Linked DNA regions of Pelodiscus sinensis. The protein of the gene in region 1 interacts with the protein of each later gene in a biochemical or structural test. Links are inferred from orthologs where the notes say so. Each region holds a gene or a part of one and is shown on either strand. Other genes may lie near its edges.

Region 1 (7,781 bases):
TGTTTTGTTCAGAATTACAAATATTTTAGATTTACAAACAACCATCATTCCTGAGGAGTTTGTTCATAACTCTGAGGTTCTACAGTACATTACTTATTAGAGCCCTGTGCTGATACAAAATGTGTATCCACATCAGTATTTGCAAAAATGAGCTGCGGATATCCTCATCCATACCTGTGGATGCAGCTATCCATGGATATCTGTGGATTTACAGGGCTTTATTTATTAAGTTCTATACCAGCAGTAGCAAACCTACTGTTCCCATCTAGTGGTAGATCTGGAAAATGCTTCTCATGTTTTTGTTTGTTTGGGTCTCCACTGTTTTCACCATTTTCACCTCACTCCATCCTGTTTATTCTCCTCTTTTCCCCTTTATTTCCCTCCTCCAGTCTTACCCAGGAATATCTCTCTTCACCTTACCTGCTACTGGATATTAACTTAAGTTGAATACATGGTCCTGACTTTGTAGAAAATGCAGTGAATTAACAAAATCAATACCATATAGGCAACTTTACAGTAGCTATAGACTACTGCAGACTTAAATACTGTCAGCTTTCATTTTCTTGTTTTTGTTAGTTCACATAAAAATTGTTGTGTTTGTGCATGTGCACGTGTTGAAAGTAGAAATGTATTAATTTTATTTAGGATTTCATATGTTGTGTGTATACCACAAAGGATTTTACTCTAGAACCTCCTCAGTTAAATTAGTCTATATGCATTTTAAGGGAATGTTTGTACTGTTCTGTGCAGGAATACATTGTGTAACTTTTTTGCTGAACATTTTGAGTACTCTATGTACCAAATCTTTACAAAACAATCACAAATGCAAATATTTATTTTTTTTCTTTTTAGCTATGCCAATTTGATGTTGTCTCTAATGGAAAGAAGCTGTTGTTATCTCATGGTTACTGTTCTGTATGATGCAAATAAACATAAAGGTCAGAACTTTTAATCATTTTCTTTAGAAGTAATATCACTTTTATATATTTTTATATACACCACACATAGTAGGGGGCAGTGCCTGCTGCTGACTGCAGTTGCCAACACCACTGTCTGTGGGGGTAAGCAAGCCAGGCTCTCCCCCCAGGGGCTGTGCCAGCCCTGGCCTCTTCGGCCCCTCCAACAGCCAGGGAGGGGAAGGCCAGGGGCCATGCCAGCCCCAGCTGCTGGGGAGAGTCCAGGGCCATGCCAGCCCCAGCCTCTCACTTCCCTCAGCCACAGCCCTGGCCTCTCGCCTTCTCCCTCCCCCCCCCCCCCCATCCTCCTCACCAACCTCCCCCCAGCCACAACCAACCCCGGACTCCCTCCCCCCCCCCCCCCCCAGGCTGCTGGAGGAGGGCCAGGGCTGAGCCGGAGGGACGGGGGCAGCAGCAGTGGCTCCTTGCTGCTCTGGGGTTCCTGACGCTCAGCGGGGAACTACTACTTCTGGCTGCTCGGGCAAGGCATGCTGGGGATGTTGCATGCCTGGAGCTCCAGCTGAGACCCACCTCTCCCCGTAAAATTAGTGCACCAGCGTCGGCTTCCTGCAGGGAAGAGAGGCCCAAGGCTCCGTACCGGAGGCAGCTTGCAGAGAAGCGCACACGCTGCTATGAAGAAGGGGGCCTCTGGCGTGGAGCCTCGGGGTTTTCTCCTCTCCCCACTCCCCCACAGGAAGCTGGCACTGGTGTACTAATCTTGCAGGGGGAGGGGGCAAGAAGTTCCCAGCTGGAGCTCCAGAAAAGCGGTGGCCCCAGTGCTCCTGGCCCGAGCTGCCGGAAGCAGTGGTTCCCTGCTGGGTCCTGGAGCATTGGGGTCCCCAGTGCAGCAAGGAGCCATTGCTGCCATCCACTGATCCTCCTTCAGGGGAGCCGGGGGCTACAAGGGGTGGGAAGAACAGTCCTGAGCCATGGCTGCCTCTTTCCCTTCTGGGAACTCTGTTGAGCCTGGGGGGGGGAGAGGGCAGCGTAGAGTAACGTGATATCACTTTGTCACCCTGCAGGAAAAACTTTTTTCAATATGTATATGGTAAAATTTTGCCTCAGTTGTTTGTGTCAACAAATTTGGTGTCCAGATTTTGTATGTGTTTCTGTTTATTTTTAACATTCATGGTAGTAAAAGTTTATGATGTTTTGTTTGTTTGTTTGAAAATTCTTTATAACCCTGTTTCCACTTGCTTCTCAGCTTTGGAATAAAATTCCTAAAAGGCAGAAATTTTTCATGCTTGATCTCAATGCTAAAAAGGGCAGGGGGGAAGGAAGATGGGAATTGTGAAACAAAATGAAAAACAATGTTGCCTTCACTATTTTTTATAAAGTGTGTCCTGTTTACCCCTTTTGTTGCCACCCCTCCCTTACTCTAGCTTTGCTCCCTCATTTGCACCCTCATTATCTGAAAATCATATTATATTTATGATGGGCACTAAGGCAGGATTTTCAGTACCTCATGACCTAAAATCAGGCATGGCTTCCTCCAGGTGGTATAATCATTCATTAATGAATGTTTGCAAAATGCTTTGAAGATGAAAAGCTTTATATACATGTTAAGTATTATATCGGGCTGATGAATTATTTTTATTAAGCCCAGATGTGCCTTCAGTTTTCCTTGATAATTATTAACTTAATACAAACAGGTTTTCCACTGCTTATTGAACAGCTCTTGAAAAACATTGTAAAATAACCTATAATAATTCATTTTTATAAGAGAAAATGTTAAAATATATTTGGCCAGTGTTTGCTTCATTATAATATTAGAAGAGTCATTATGACTTTTGCTGATTCAACTTTCCCTTTTTCTCCCCAGGTCCACCATTTTATGTTCCTGATACTGAAATTAAAAGTTTATTTGGTAGGTTAACTCCACTGCAGTTATGATTTTTCCAAAACGTCGCAAACAAATGTGTTGATATTCTAGTATTTTGACTTGTTCTGAAGCAATTGAGAAGAAAGCCTATAAGGATGTTTGCTTCATGTACAAAATCTGGGGAGACATACAGTGTGAAAATAAATACCTTTTCACTCCAAGATTATTGATATGCACAACAAACATCACTTCCCTGAAAGATATATAGGCTCATTGTTTAAATACACACTGTAAAGGAAATATGAACCTGTGCTACCAATAAGACATGTACAGTCCCTATGGCCCAAGGTTACTTTCCATGCGGAGTCTTCAATAATAGGGATGTGGACGACTAGTCGACAAGCAAATGCTTATCGGCTAGTCTACTTGAGTAGTCACTTCCCTTCCTCCTCTTGTTGCCTCTGTCAGAAAGAGGCAGCAAGTGGTGGGGGAAGAGGAGGTGGTACTCAGTGGCAGTGTCCCCAGGCTGCATGCAGCATTTCAAAGCGGCAGTGCCACACTGACGCTGGGCACCCTGCAACGTTTCTAAGCGTCAGCGCCACACAGAGCCCAGGGTCAGCGGGGAAATCGCCAGCTGATCCCGGGCTCCCCGTGGCACTGCCGCTTTGAAATACTGTGGGGAACATGGGGCCAGCAGGGGACTGTCCTGCCAGTCCGTGCTCCCCACAGTGCTTTCGCCTTTGAAATATAGCAACAGCCCTGCACTGTTCCAAAGGTGGAGGTGCCCTATTGACTAATCCAATAGTGGATACAAATTATATCAACTATTCAATTAGTCAATTACTCAAAATGTAACATCCCTATCCCATAATTCAACCTATATCCCTATGTTCATTTATCCCATAGCTTATCACTGCTGGCCCTATAATAATTTTCTCATGTCCTTTCTGATCTGACATTTTGGTTGGTCCCCCCTCCTATGCCCCCAAGCCTTATTGTTTGTTCATTTAACACAAGTACCTTGCCCCATTATCTGTGTGTTTTCTGCTATAATTCTGAGACCAAAGTTAACTTGCAAAAAAAAAAGTATGATGATAGTAAACCACCATGTTAAGGGAATTAAAGATCGAAAGTAAAACTACTGAAACAACAAAATTGAGTTAAGATTGACATTTCATCCTTGAGATGCCTTAAATTAAACTTTGGTTCACAGTTCCTGTAGTTTACTCCCGTCTCAAACCTCTGAAGGATCTAAACAGCATGAATTATTCTTAATTAACAGTGGCATACAATTGTGAAAGAGGGCTAAATGCTGGTTACCTTATTTATGCTGGTCTACAAATGAGTTAGATCAGAAAGATTTGTTCTAAGAGCATAAAAAGTTCACGATTGAAAAAGCAAAAACAAATTATTGTAATCTTTTATCATATCTGTACATTGCTAATCTTCTTTTTCAGGAAAATTCTGTGAAATCAAGGATCTTGAGAAGGTTGATGACTTCTCGGACAAGCACAGGGCCTGGGGACTAGATTATTTCCTGGAAGTAATATATTTGCTTACTTTAAAGTCTGTTCCTTGATGAAACAATGAACAAAAAATGTATTAAGATGGAAAGAATTATATTGATCACACTTTCTTTGACATGAGCTGGATATTTGGAATTCTGAAATGCCTCAGGGTATGAAAAGTGGGTTCTGGGACATCTTTGTCTTTTGAAGACTTCATGCATTCAAAGACAATTAACTATACATCTGATTTGATTTGCGTAATCTGCATTGTAAGATTTGTAGCATTGAAATTATTTTAATAATCATTGTAACATTGTACCTCTGTCTCCTGTATTATTTCAAATAATTAAAATAAAAAATAATGTATATAAAAAGAAATTGCAGTTTTCCATACCAACCAATATTGCCTGTCTGCCTGGAGCTTTGTAGTCTCGTATCAGGTACTCACAGTCCCAAACTGTGTCCTGGAAACTATGCTGTTACAAGCTGCAGGATGGAAAGTTTTTATGTTTTGGGATTCTGGAGTCCTGCCACTACTGGCTGCTGGGTAGAAGAGACAAGAGTCTATTTGGTGGCTGTCTTTTTCTCCCTATCTCTCTTGCTCTGTGCTATGTGGATTGGAGACTGGCTGGCAGAGAGCAAAGCAAAATAATCAACAGCAACCATGACTGGATGAGGGATCAGCTATAGATGTACAAGATGAATAAAGAAAGTGAATAGAAAGGGGAGCAGAACACACTGGGAGTAGATGATCTCTGAAGTTTTCCATGACTATGATATTCTTCCCCCTCAATACAGCAATTATGAGTACAGGAATCTCGCCATAGGAGGAAGAATTGTATGGGGAATGTGGCTTGTCGGCCGTAAGGGAGACCTTTCTGCAGTTTGAATAAGCATATGAGCTTTCGGATATTTATCGGAACTCAAACCCTTTAGGGGTTCTCCCATTGCTAGTTGACAGATACTACTACAACTTTGCAAAATGGAGGTTTTGTTTTGAGTCCCTAATAATAGATCCATTTTTTAAATATCTAAAATTTACCAGGATGCAGACCAGTGTTCCCTGTAGGCTGTTTGCTTGTGCAGCCACTCAGGAGAGATTCAAATGTCATCTAGTTGATTAGCAGACTGCCCACAGCTAGACTTTTCATTTATATTGATGGTGCACATTCACATATGCCTTGGTGCACATAAAAATTATTCCACACATGAATGGAAAAGATTAGAAGGACCATTGATGCTGACACATTCTACTATTGGTTTGCAGACCCCTTTTCTTCTCCTTCTCCTATTCCCTTATACAGAGAAGTGCTTCTGAAACCAAAGCTGATTTACAGTATCGCAACATGATATTTAAAGGGTGTGATGGTTAAAGCAGTGATCAGGAGCCACGCTCAAGCAACTTCAAAGCCCTTTTCCCTTTCAAGTTTCTTTTGGGGTTTTGGTAAGTCTTTGTGTGGTGAAGGCTTGTCAGATGGTTTCTTCTTACCTACACCATAACATCAATCAGCTCCTGAGACACAGCAGTTTTCTTCGTGTGAGCAACACTCCTTTTTATGCTTGCTTCCTCCAGCTGGTAGTATATCTGGTAGGGATAGAACCCGGAATTGTTTATTAACCTTGTAATTGGCCCTTCACACAGTGGTTAAAAACAGAAGAGAAGTAGAAGCAATGTCTTATATTAAGTATATGTCTCTTGCTCCCTCCATTTCTCTTTACGGCAAGCATTGGATATTCCTTGCAATCATTGTATTGAAAGAATTGGCAGGTCTGATGTGTCCAGCATATTTGTAGTTGTAGTGAGTGATCATTTTATAGTTTAAACGAAGGGTGTGGTGTGGGTGTTGGGTGGTGGTTGGTTTTTTTTTTTTTAAACCCTTGAAGTTGGATAGAGAGAAAAGCAGAAAACCCCTACTGGCTGACTATATAAATACGGCTCTCCCAGCATCCCAATCAGTTTGTTCCTTTGCTTACATCGGAATCTATCTTCTCAGAAAGATAAGCCAACTACAGAGGATGAACAATGTACTTACAAGAAAAATAAACAACAAGGATAAAGAGAAAAGCAATTCTTACACAGCAACATCCAAGCACTGAGATGAGGTAGTGTGATATGTACAGAAAAGAAGCTGAAAGACGTTCTTTTTCTTCTCTAATGATACCAGCATTGTGAAATCCTCACTCCTGGGCTTTGAGATAATGGATATTCAAAAATTAAAGTAAGTAAAACTGAAGTGCGCAACAATATTAAGACCAAGGCCAACACTGTGAATGGGAAGATTTTAAATATAAATACAATGAGTAAGATACTAACATTCAAGTTTGCCAAAAAAGACAGTAATGAGAGAGAAAATCAATACATTAGACCATCAGTTTTTGCAAGACACATCCCCAAATTAAAATCAACACTTAGTGCATGAGGGAAATTTGATCCCACCTACTTTGGAAACAAGTTTTGGAACACAATGAGTTTGAAACAGCATTCCCAGGAGCCCGAATGCAAGCATTAATACTTTAGTAAAGGTACACAGAGGGCATCATGTAGCCATTTCTTTTACATCATTCACATACATCTGTGATAGGATGTCTGATTTCAGGGATGTTTCTATTAGACATAATCTTCTTGATCATAACATAGTTGAGTAAACTGTTAAAAGGAACAGTTAAAAGGACTTAGTCTACTTCCAGCAGAACCCCAAGGAACTTTTAGCTGTGACCATATGGAGAAGGGCCTCCTGGGATGGGCAAGATGGGTGTGGGAAGAATGCTAACAACAAGAGGTCAGAACAGGAAGTCTTTGTTCCTGAAATTCCCAGCATCTTGCTAGTAGCAGGATAAAAGATGGAAGAAAACAGTGGCCTGAACTGCTTCTCTAACAGATTAAATTCCTGCTCTTGACTGGATTCCTGAAAATGATGAACCCTGTTCATTTATTGCATCCTGAATAATTACCATATAAATTGTCCATTACTCCTCCTGCTCCGTTACTCCTGCTTCTATGAATTATTGGACTTTTATCACATATTGATTCTTGAAAACTGATGTGGACTATGAAACCATGCTTAAATTACTCTTGTTTAAATGATATGAGACTGGGATTTATAGCTTACAGTTCAGATATATTTTCATGCCAAATGAAATTTAAAAAAAAAATTGAAGAAAAAGGGAAGATAATAAAGTAATTCCCATTCATTTTGGTGAGCCCATTGCATTTTCCCAACTTTCCTTTAGATGGCAGGAGATTACAACCAATGCTTTTATGTATTTATGGAAAGGTCTCTGATGTAATGCAGTCCTGTGACTGTCCAATGTGACCAGATTTCAGCGTCACATTGCTAGCATAGTTTAATCAACAATCTTCTTAAACCTGCACTATGTCTGCCACGGCCTCTGATAAAATGCAGATTATGACAGAACTGGTGAGCGAAACTGAGGTCAGTCTTCTTGAATGCAAAGTGTGCTTTGAAAAATATACCCAGAAGAAGAAACATCGGC
Region 2 (7,331 bases), on another chromosome or scaffold:
ATCCTAGAAAATCATCTGTGGATGCATAATTTAACTATTCTGTGTTTACAAGAAAAAAGTCCAAGGTACTATTCTAATACCTTCAAAAAGATGAGTACCAAAACCCATCCACTCGAAAAAGAAAACACCTATTTTGCAAGCAATCAGATGGCTGATAAAGGCAGAAAGTCTTTACTACAGGGGTGGAGAACCTTTTCTGGGTCGCAGGCTGCTGACCCACAGAAAAATCAGGCAGGGTCCATACAAGCGAGAAGCAAAACAAAACAAAAAGCTCCCAAACCCTCACTGAGGCGGCCCTCGACCGAGGAGGAAAAAGTGACTCCCCACATTCCCCTGACACACTAGAGCCTGGAGTGGCCCAGGCTAGTACATTTTGTATGCTCCAGCCCCACAATGGGGCAGCAGGGGCACTGGACCACCATGCAGCTTCCAAATGCTGAGGGGAAGCCCTGAGTCTTGGGGGCGGGGGACCAGATCTGGGTAAGCTGAGGGCCACATTTGGCCCCCAGACTTTAGGTTCCTCACCCCTATTTTACTACTATAGCAGCACATATTTTCTGGATTCCTCACATATACCCAATAAAGACAGAATCCTTAAAGTTGACTGTAAAGTGAGTGATCTAATAGCAAAGAAAGTTCCAACTATATTTCTCTGGTCTCTCAACCAACCTCGGAGTTTGGCACAATATACAAGAGAAAAAATACCGTATATACTCGAGTATAAGTCGACCCGAATATAAGCCGAGGCACCTAATTTTACCCCAAAAAACTGGGGAAAAGTATTGACCCGAGTATAAGCCTAGGGTAGGAAATAAGGCAGCCTAGGGTAGGAAATGAGTCGGGGCGAAAGCTGCTCCGGTGCCCCTGGTCTGCTGGAGACCGTCTCCAGCAGACCAGGGGCACCGGGCGGGTTCCCGCGCTTCTGAGGCTTTGCCAGAGCAAAGCCTCAGAGGCGCGGGGAAGCGCCGCTGCTGCCGCTTCAATCTGGGTGCCTGTGGTCTGCTGGGGACCGTCCCCAGCAGACCACAGGCTCCCGGACTGAAGCCGCAGCCGCGGGGGGGGCGGGTCCCGCGCCTCTGCGGCTTTGCCCGCCTCAGTTCGAGATGCTGACTCGAGTATAAGCCGAGGGGGGCATTTTTCAGCACAAAAGCTGTGCTGAAAAACTCGGCTTATACTCGAGTATATACGGTACTGAAAATCTGCCTCTCTATTTTTCCTGACCAAAAAATCCCCAAAATCCTGAGGCTGCAATTTTATTCCAAAGAAAGCTAAGCTTTCTATATTTTGAGGGAGACTGTTACAATCCTGTTGGATAATATCAGAGCTACAGTGACAGTTTTGCACAATAGGACTCTTAAGTCTATATGAATACTGATTACAAGGAAAGAATTACAAGTTGAGAGATTTATCTGGATCAAATACTGCGCTTAGTGGTTTACTATATTACTATAATCCCATCTATTTATCAGTATCTGGTTTCTTCAGCTCTTCAAGAAAGAGACTGTCTGTTAAAAACTGAGCACATTTTGAATGCTACCACAAGACAAATAATAATTACAAAATGAAGCAATCCAATTAATTCATATGCCATTGTTATAATTAGGCCTTTCACTTGCTGTGTTAAGTAGCAAATTTTACACAGTAAACACATAATAAAGCTCTTAATGCAAAGGTGGGGAACTCTTTTGGGTTGGGGACCACTGACCCACAGAAAAATCAGCCAGGGGCCACACACAACTGAGAAACAACCCCTCCCCCCCCACAAACACTCACAGATGTGGCCCCTGACTGAGGAGGAGAAAAGCTTCAGAGGTAGCCGGATCTGTAACTGGAAAAACTTAAAAAACAACAAATAGTCTTGCAGCACCTTAAAGAGGAACAAAACATATAGATGGTATCATGAGCTTTGGTGGGTACAACTGACTACTTCAGATGAATGGAGTTATTAAAAGTAACTGGACTTATTAAAAGCTGGGGGCGGGGAACTGAACTCCCTTTGGGGGCCGGATCCAGGCAGCCCAGGCCTTAGGTTCCCCACCGTGTCTTAATGGGTTGATTTCTCTTGGCCTTTGTAACGGCCATACACCAAACACTTCACGGTGCATAGCTGAAGGTGTTTTTTCCATTCGACAACTACATTATACATCCCTTTCTTGGCATCTTCCACTCAGGGTATAATCCAACAAAGGAATTTAAACTTTATTGCCGAAAGGCTTGTTCACACATGCAAATAAACATCCGAGACACGCACCAATGACGTGATAACATTTCCAAAGCGTGGGTGCCCACCTCGCGGTACTTCTCCCCCCCGTGCTCCTTGATACTAGACACTCGGGCTCCCCTGCACTACAGCGGCACAGCCGGGGGGCCCTACCCTACTGTAGAGCCGAGGCTTCCTCTCTGGAGGGAAGGGGTTTCTCCGCAGCGCCGGTTAGTTAGGGCTGTTCGAAAGCGGATAATTGGGGAACTAGACGGGGGCGCTCAGAGCCCGCAGCCGGGACACCGTCCAGAAAAACCCCTCGTGCGGGGGGGGGGGGGGGGGGGGGCAAGCTCCCTACAAGCGAGACGCAACGGGAGTCCCGCGGCAGCAGCTGCTCTCCGCGCGGCCCGGCCTGGCTGCGCCCCCGCCCCGCAGAGGCCGAGCAGCAGCCCGGGGCGGGGGGAGGTCCCCGGCGCTACCTTCCCAGACGGTGTCGGCGCCGCGCCGCCGCAGGAACTTGAACCAGAAGGTGCCCGCGGCCTCCTCGTCCGGCAGCGCCGCCTCCGCCAGCCACAGCGCGGGCTCCTGGGCGGGGAGCGGGGCCGCCGGGCGCGCGGGCTTCATGGGCAGCGCGCGCTGCGGGTCCCACTGGCCCAGCTCCGGCCGCGAGCCGGCCACCAGGAGCACCGCGCCCCCCGCGCTCAGCCCGGCCGGCAGCACCACCCCGAAGCGGAACAACATGGTAGCGCCCGGCCCGCTCCCGGCCGCGGGGAAGGTGAACGAGTCCTGCACCCCCCCCCCCCCCCCCCCCCCCCGGGAGACTTGTCACCTCCCCACCGCTAGAGGGACCCCACATGCCGCGCGCTTCTGGGATGTGACGTCACCTGGCGCACGGGTGTGAGGCACGAAAAGCGGGCGCGCCACTTGTTGGTGTGTAGGGTCTCACGCGCATGTGCGGGAAGAGGAGGGAGGGGGGGATTGAGCGCGTGCTGCTCCCGGGGAGCCGACGTGTCGGGCGCTGGGCACGCGGCTCGTTCGGGTCCTAGCGCAGCTTGTGAGTTTAGCTCGCGTGGAACTGTGGCTGCCGCCAGCTCAATTCTGCAGCAGCCCCGGAGCCTCCTCGGGGGGGGGGGCTTCTTGCGGCCAGGGGACCCCTCGCTCGCGCCGGGAAAGTTCACCCCTGGAGTTGGCTGCAGTGGAAAAGTTAGCAGTAGAAGGGGCCCCACTGTGCGCAGCAGGGACGACACGGGGCGCTGTTACCAATAATCGCTTGAGTTCTACTAGCAAACCAAACAGAAGTCTAGTAAAGGGGAGAGAGAGGGACACAGAGCCCGTAAAATTTGCATTACTTGCACTCGCGCTATTTATATCTCCTGGAAAATGCCCCGGTGTGTTGGTCATCATTCTCACTGTTGTCATCAGCTTTTCTAATGTGTGTGTTAGGCTAATGCCTCCTAGTGGTTTATATATAGGGAGATTTTTACTACTTGAAGCTATGCACCCCACTTCTTTGGGGTGCCCCATTTACATTTGTGTCTTTGTCATAGAAACAGGCTAGCACAATGGTGAGTAATCTGCATCCCATTGGGGTTCTATTTGTAGCCTGAGGGACATTTTGTTTACTGTTGCCTGCCCACCGGATTGCCAGAGTCAGCTGCTTTCTGTCTGTATAGTTTGTTTCCTACTTGTGTTAAAGTACATGCACATACAGTAAGGCTACGTCTAAACTGGCATGATTTTTCACAAATGCTTTTAACGGGAAAGTTTTTCATTAAAAGCATTTGCGGAAAAGGGCATCTAGATTGGCACGGATGCTTTTCCACAAAAGCACTTTTTGCGGAAAAGCGTCCGTGCCAATCTAGGTGCACTTTTGCGCAAAACAAATCTGAGCTGTCTACACTGGCCCTTTTGCACAAAAGCTTTGTGCAAAAGGGACTTTTGCCCAAACGGGAGCAGCATAGTATTTCCGCAAGAAACACTGATTTCATACAGTAGGAAGTCAGTGTTCTTGCAGATATTCAAGTGGCCAGTGTAGACAGCTGCCAAGTTTTTCCGCAAAAGCACTTGCTTTTGCGGAAAAACTTGCCAGTCTAGACGCAGCCGGCAGGTATATGAAGCGAGTTATGTGCTCAATGCGTGCAACTTTCTGGAAGCCATGTGCTCCCTCTACATCCATCCAAACAACACGCTGCTACAGTTTAATCAGCACCGCCCCCTCCCCCCGAATTCTAGGTACGAAGGCATGGGTAGAAAAACTACCCTATTCATGGAAACCATCTTGGTTACAACAATCTTGCATTCCAGTGAGATGGAGGGGCACTTGTGGCCCGCTCACTAGCTGCCTATATTGCCCATCACTGATCCACACTGAATAGTTTACACTACAGTTTAAGCCCCCAATCTTGCAAACATCTTCTCACAGGTAGAAGTGTTTGCAGGATTGATATCGGTGAAGAATGTTAGCTAATGTGTTCAGTAGTGTCATTTTATGTATGGGATTGTAGGCAAAGTGAAACCTGTGGATGGACACGAGACAGGTAATATCCATAGGCGTGCGCAGCACATTTCATTAGGGTGTGCACCCAAAGAATTTTTTAAAAATGTACTTTACCCCCATTAGCCCTGACCCTGTTAGCCACGCTCCTGACCCCCAGTGGCCACACCTCTGGAGGCAACACTTTCTGGGCAAGATGGACACATGACCAAAAGGTGTCATGTGACCCCCCCCCCGGACTTTTCCCACTATCCTCCTACCAATATGGATTAGTTTGCCCCCCCCAAAACTCCCCTCATGCAACTATCCTGCAGTTGCATTACCCCAATGTGTAAGACATTAACTCAGGGTGGAGAGGCTGGGGGAAGTGTTCCCTCTAAGTTTCCTCCGATGAGCAGAATGAATTTTGAGTTGTGCATGTAGCTTGTTTGGATGTGTCACTCTGGCACCCAAGTTATTAATAAATATCTCATAAATCTCTACCTTTACCCTCTGTTGCCATGTCTCCTCCCCTTGCTCCATCAGCTCCCCTGGTGCCTGCTGCCCCCCAACCTTTCGCCCTCCTCTGCTGTCCTGACTTTTGCCCTTCTCACTGCCCTCAGCCTTCCTGAGACCTGCCCCCCTCCACCAGCCCTTCTCCCCCCCACCGTGCCTACTCCTCCAGTAGCCCCACTCTGATCATGTGAGCTACCCTTCCTCATCCCCTCTCGTAACACCTCCCTCTACACACCTGCCCTGCCTCTCTTCTCTGGTGCTGGTACCTCCCCTGCAGGTGTCTGCCCTTCTGCTTCACCCCCAGAATCGCCTGGCACCTGTACCTTCCATTACCCCTGCACCCTCCTGGTGTCCCCCTTCCCTCAGTGCCCCTGCCCCCTTTTTTCCTGATGCCCACCCCCTCACTACCCTCTGCCCCCATTCCCTTCATGCTCCTGTGCCCTCACACATGCCTTGCTCCATCCCTGCCTTCCTCATTCCCACCCCTTCTTTCAAGCCTTCTCCCAGCACCTCCCCTTCTCCTCTCTAGCCCCCAAAACCCTTACCCTCTCCTCTCCCGGCATCACCCTGTCCCCCCTCCCACTGACACCTCCCCTCCTGCCCTTTTCCTCATTGTCTCCACTTGGCCCTCTGGCATTTGCCTCTCCTCTACCCTGTCCCTTAGTGTTTTCCCCTTTCTTCTCCTGATCTTCCCCCTCCCTTCAGCACAATCCCCTTCCTCTCCCACCCCTTCCTCTTATTTTTCCCCCTCCTCTCCCCTTCCCTTCCTTCCCTTCGGCTTCTGCCTCCAATTCGCAGGGCTGGAGTCAGAGCTGGCCCAAGCTACAGGCCGACCAGGCCCTAGCTGGGGTGCCCCCAGGACGCCGCACGGTGCTGCCAGGCTGGGCAGGGGTGTCCCCGGGGCGCCTCGGGGGGACCGTGCGGTGCTGCTGGGCCGGGCAGGAGCATCCCCAGGGCGCTGCGTGGTGCTGCCGTGCGGGGAGGAGGGTGCCTCAAGGGGTGGCCGCACGGTGTCCCCAGGGCACCTGAGGGGGCGCCGCGCAGTACTGCCAGGCTGAGGGGAAGGTGCCTCGGGGGGCCACACGGTGCTGCCGGGCCGGACGGGGCGCCCCCGGGTGCATAAGGGGCGGTGTTGCGGGGCCCGGAGCGCAAAAATGGCTCGGGCCAACCAACATTTGTAGTAGGGCCTCAGCTGCTTCTGGAGCTGGGCCACACAGTTTGAAAGTCCCGGGCCGTGATGTCACGTCACAGCCAGGCGTCTCCCCTCTCACCTGTTCCGCGGCATTTCAGCACGCCGCGCATGCGCACTCTGCCCCACAGTGCCCCGTAGATGGCCGTGGGGAATTTAAAGTGAGGGTTTGTGGCGCTCCGTCACAAATTCCTCTCCTCCTCCGGCAGTCACTAGCTGGCCCAAGACATTAGGGTGTGCCTAGGCACACCCGGCACACCCTGTACGCATGCCTATGGTAATATCTGAGGACACAGTAAATGCATTTTCGATTGCTAGATGGAATGTTCAGTTGAATTGCAGCAGGTGGGTAAGAGCCTTTGTAAGAGCATTAAGACTTGCCGGCTGAAAGCTTGATTACTGGGACCTAGCTGACACTGCCAGGAAGGGGCTCTAATTGGTTCATTCATAGTTTTACTTGCAGTTAATAAAGCCACAAATCATTAAATGGGTCAAGATTGGAGCTGTGGTGACTTAAGTTTTCCTGCAGTGGCTTTGAAAAGTACCTAACATCTGTATCAGACAGCACCTGGTCCTGGGGACATGGTCCTTCGTCTAAGAGAGCAGAGTGAGCAATGAGGTAAAATTGCCAAGCGTGCAACCCAATGGTTGCACAAATTATCTGAGCCCAGGGCATAGGAAACCCAGGATCATTAGATGGCCTAAATGGACATCACTGAGTAAAGTTGGGGAAAAGAAGGTAAGTTAGCAGAGGTGTCTAGGGATGATCCCCCATCTGGGACTGCCCCAGGCCCCTCAGCTGCCATTTTGGGAGCTGGGGGAAGCTGCAGCCACACTTACCTGGTCAGTGTGGGTTTTTCCCCCTGTTCGCTGTTACTAGGAAGTGAGGAAAAAGTGCAGAGCCTGCTGTGTCCTCTTGCTCTGGCTGCCCCAGAGGGGCAGAAGAGAAACGC

What was found. The genes of interacting proteins can lie anywhere in the genome.
Region 2: the proteins of NHLRC1 (region 1) and EPM2A form a complex in vitro, tested with the Homo sapiens proteins (3 studies listed by BioGRID, with this or other methods). The link is inferred for Pelodiscus sinensis from reciprocal best matches to the Homo sapiens genes NHLRC1 and EPM2A.

Annotation. Positions count from the first base shown.
Region 1 is NC_134712.1:105,713,188-105,720,968, forward strand, and holds the start of NHLRC1 (E3 ubiquitin-protein ligase NHLRC1), read left to right. Parts: upstream 1-4,766; 5' UTR 4,767-7,660; coding exon 7,661-7,781. Other genes in the region: TPMT (thiopurine S-methyltransferase), read left to right, coding at 853-938, 2,779-2,823, 4,236-4,357. UniProt on the Homo sapiens protein: E3 ubiquitin-protein ligase. Together with the phosphatase EPM2A/laforin, appears to be involved in the clearance of toxic polyglucosan and protein aggregates via multiple pathways.
Region 2 is NC_134713.1:103,253,899-103,261,229, forward strand, and holds the start of EPM2A (laforin), read right to left. Parts: upstream 3,001-7,331; 5' UTR 2,942-3,000; coding exon 2,680-2,941; intron 2,430-2,679; exon of another isoform or gene 2,252-2,429; intron 1-2,251. UniProt on the Homo sapiens protein: Plays an important role in preventing glycogen hyperphosphorylation and the formation of insoluble aggregates, via its activity as glycogen phosphatase, and by promoting the ubiquitination of proteins involved in glycogen metabolism via its interaction with the E3 ubiquitin ligase NHLRC1/malin.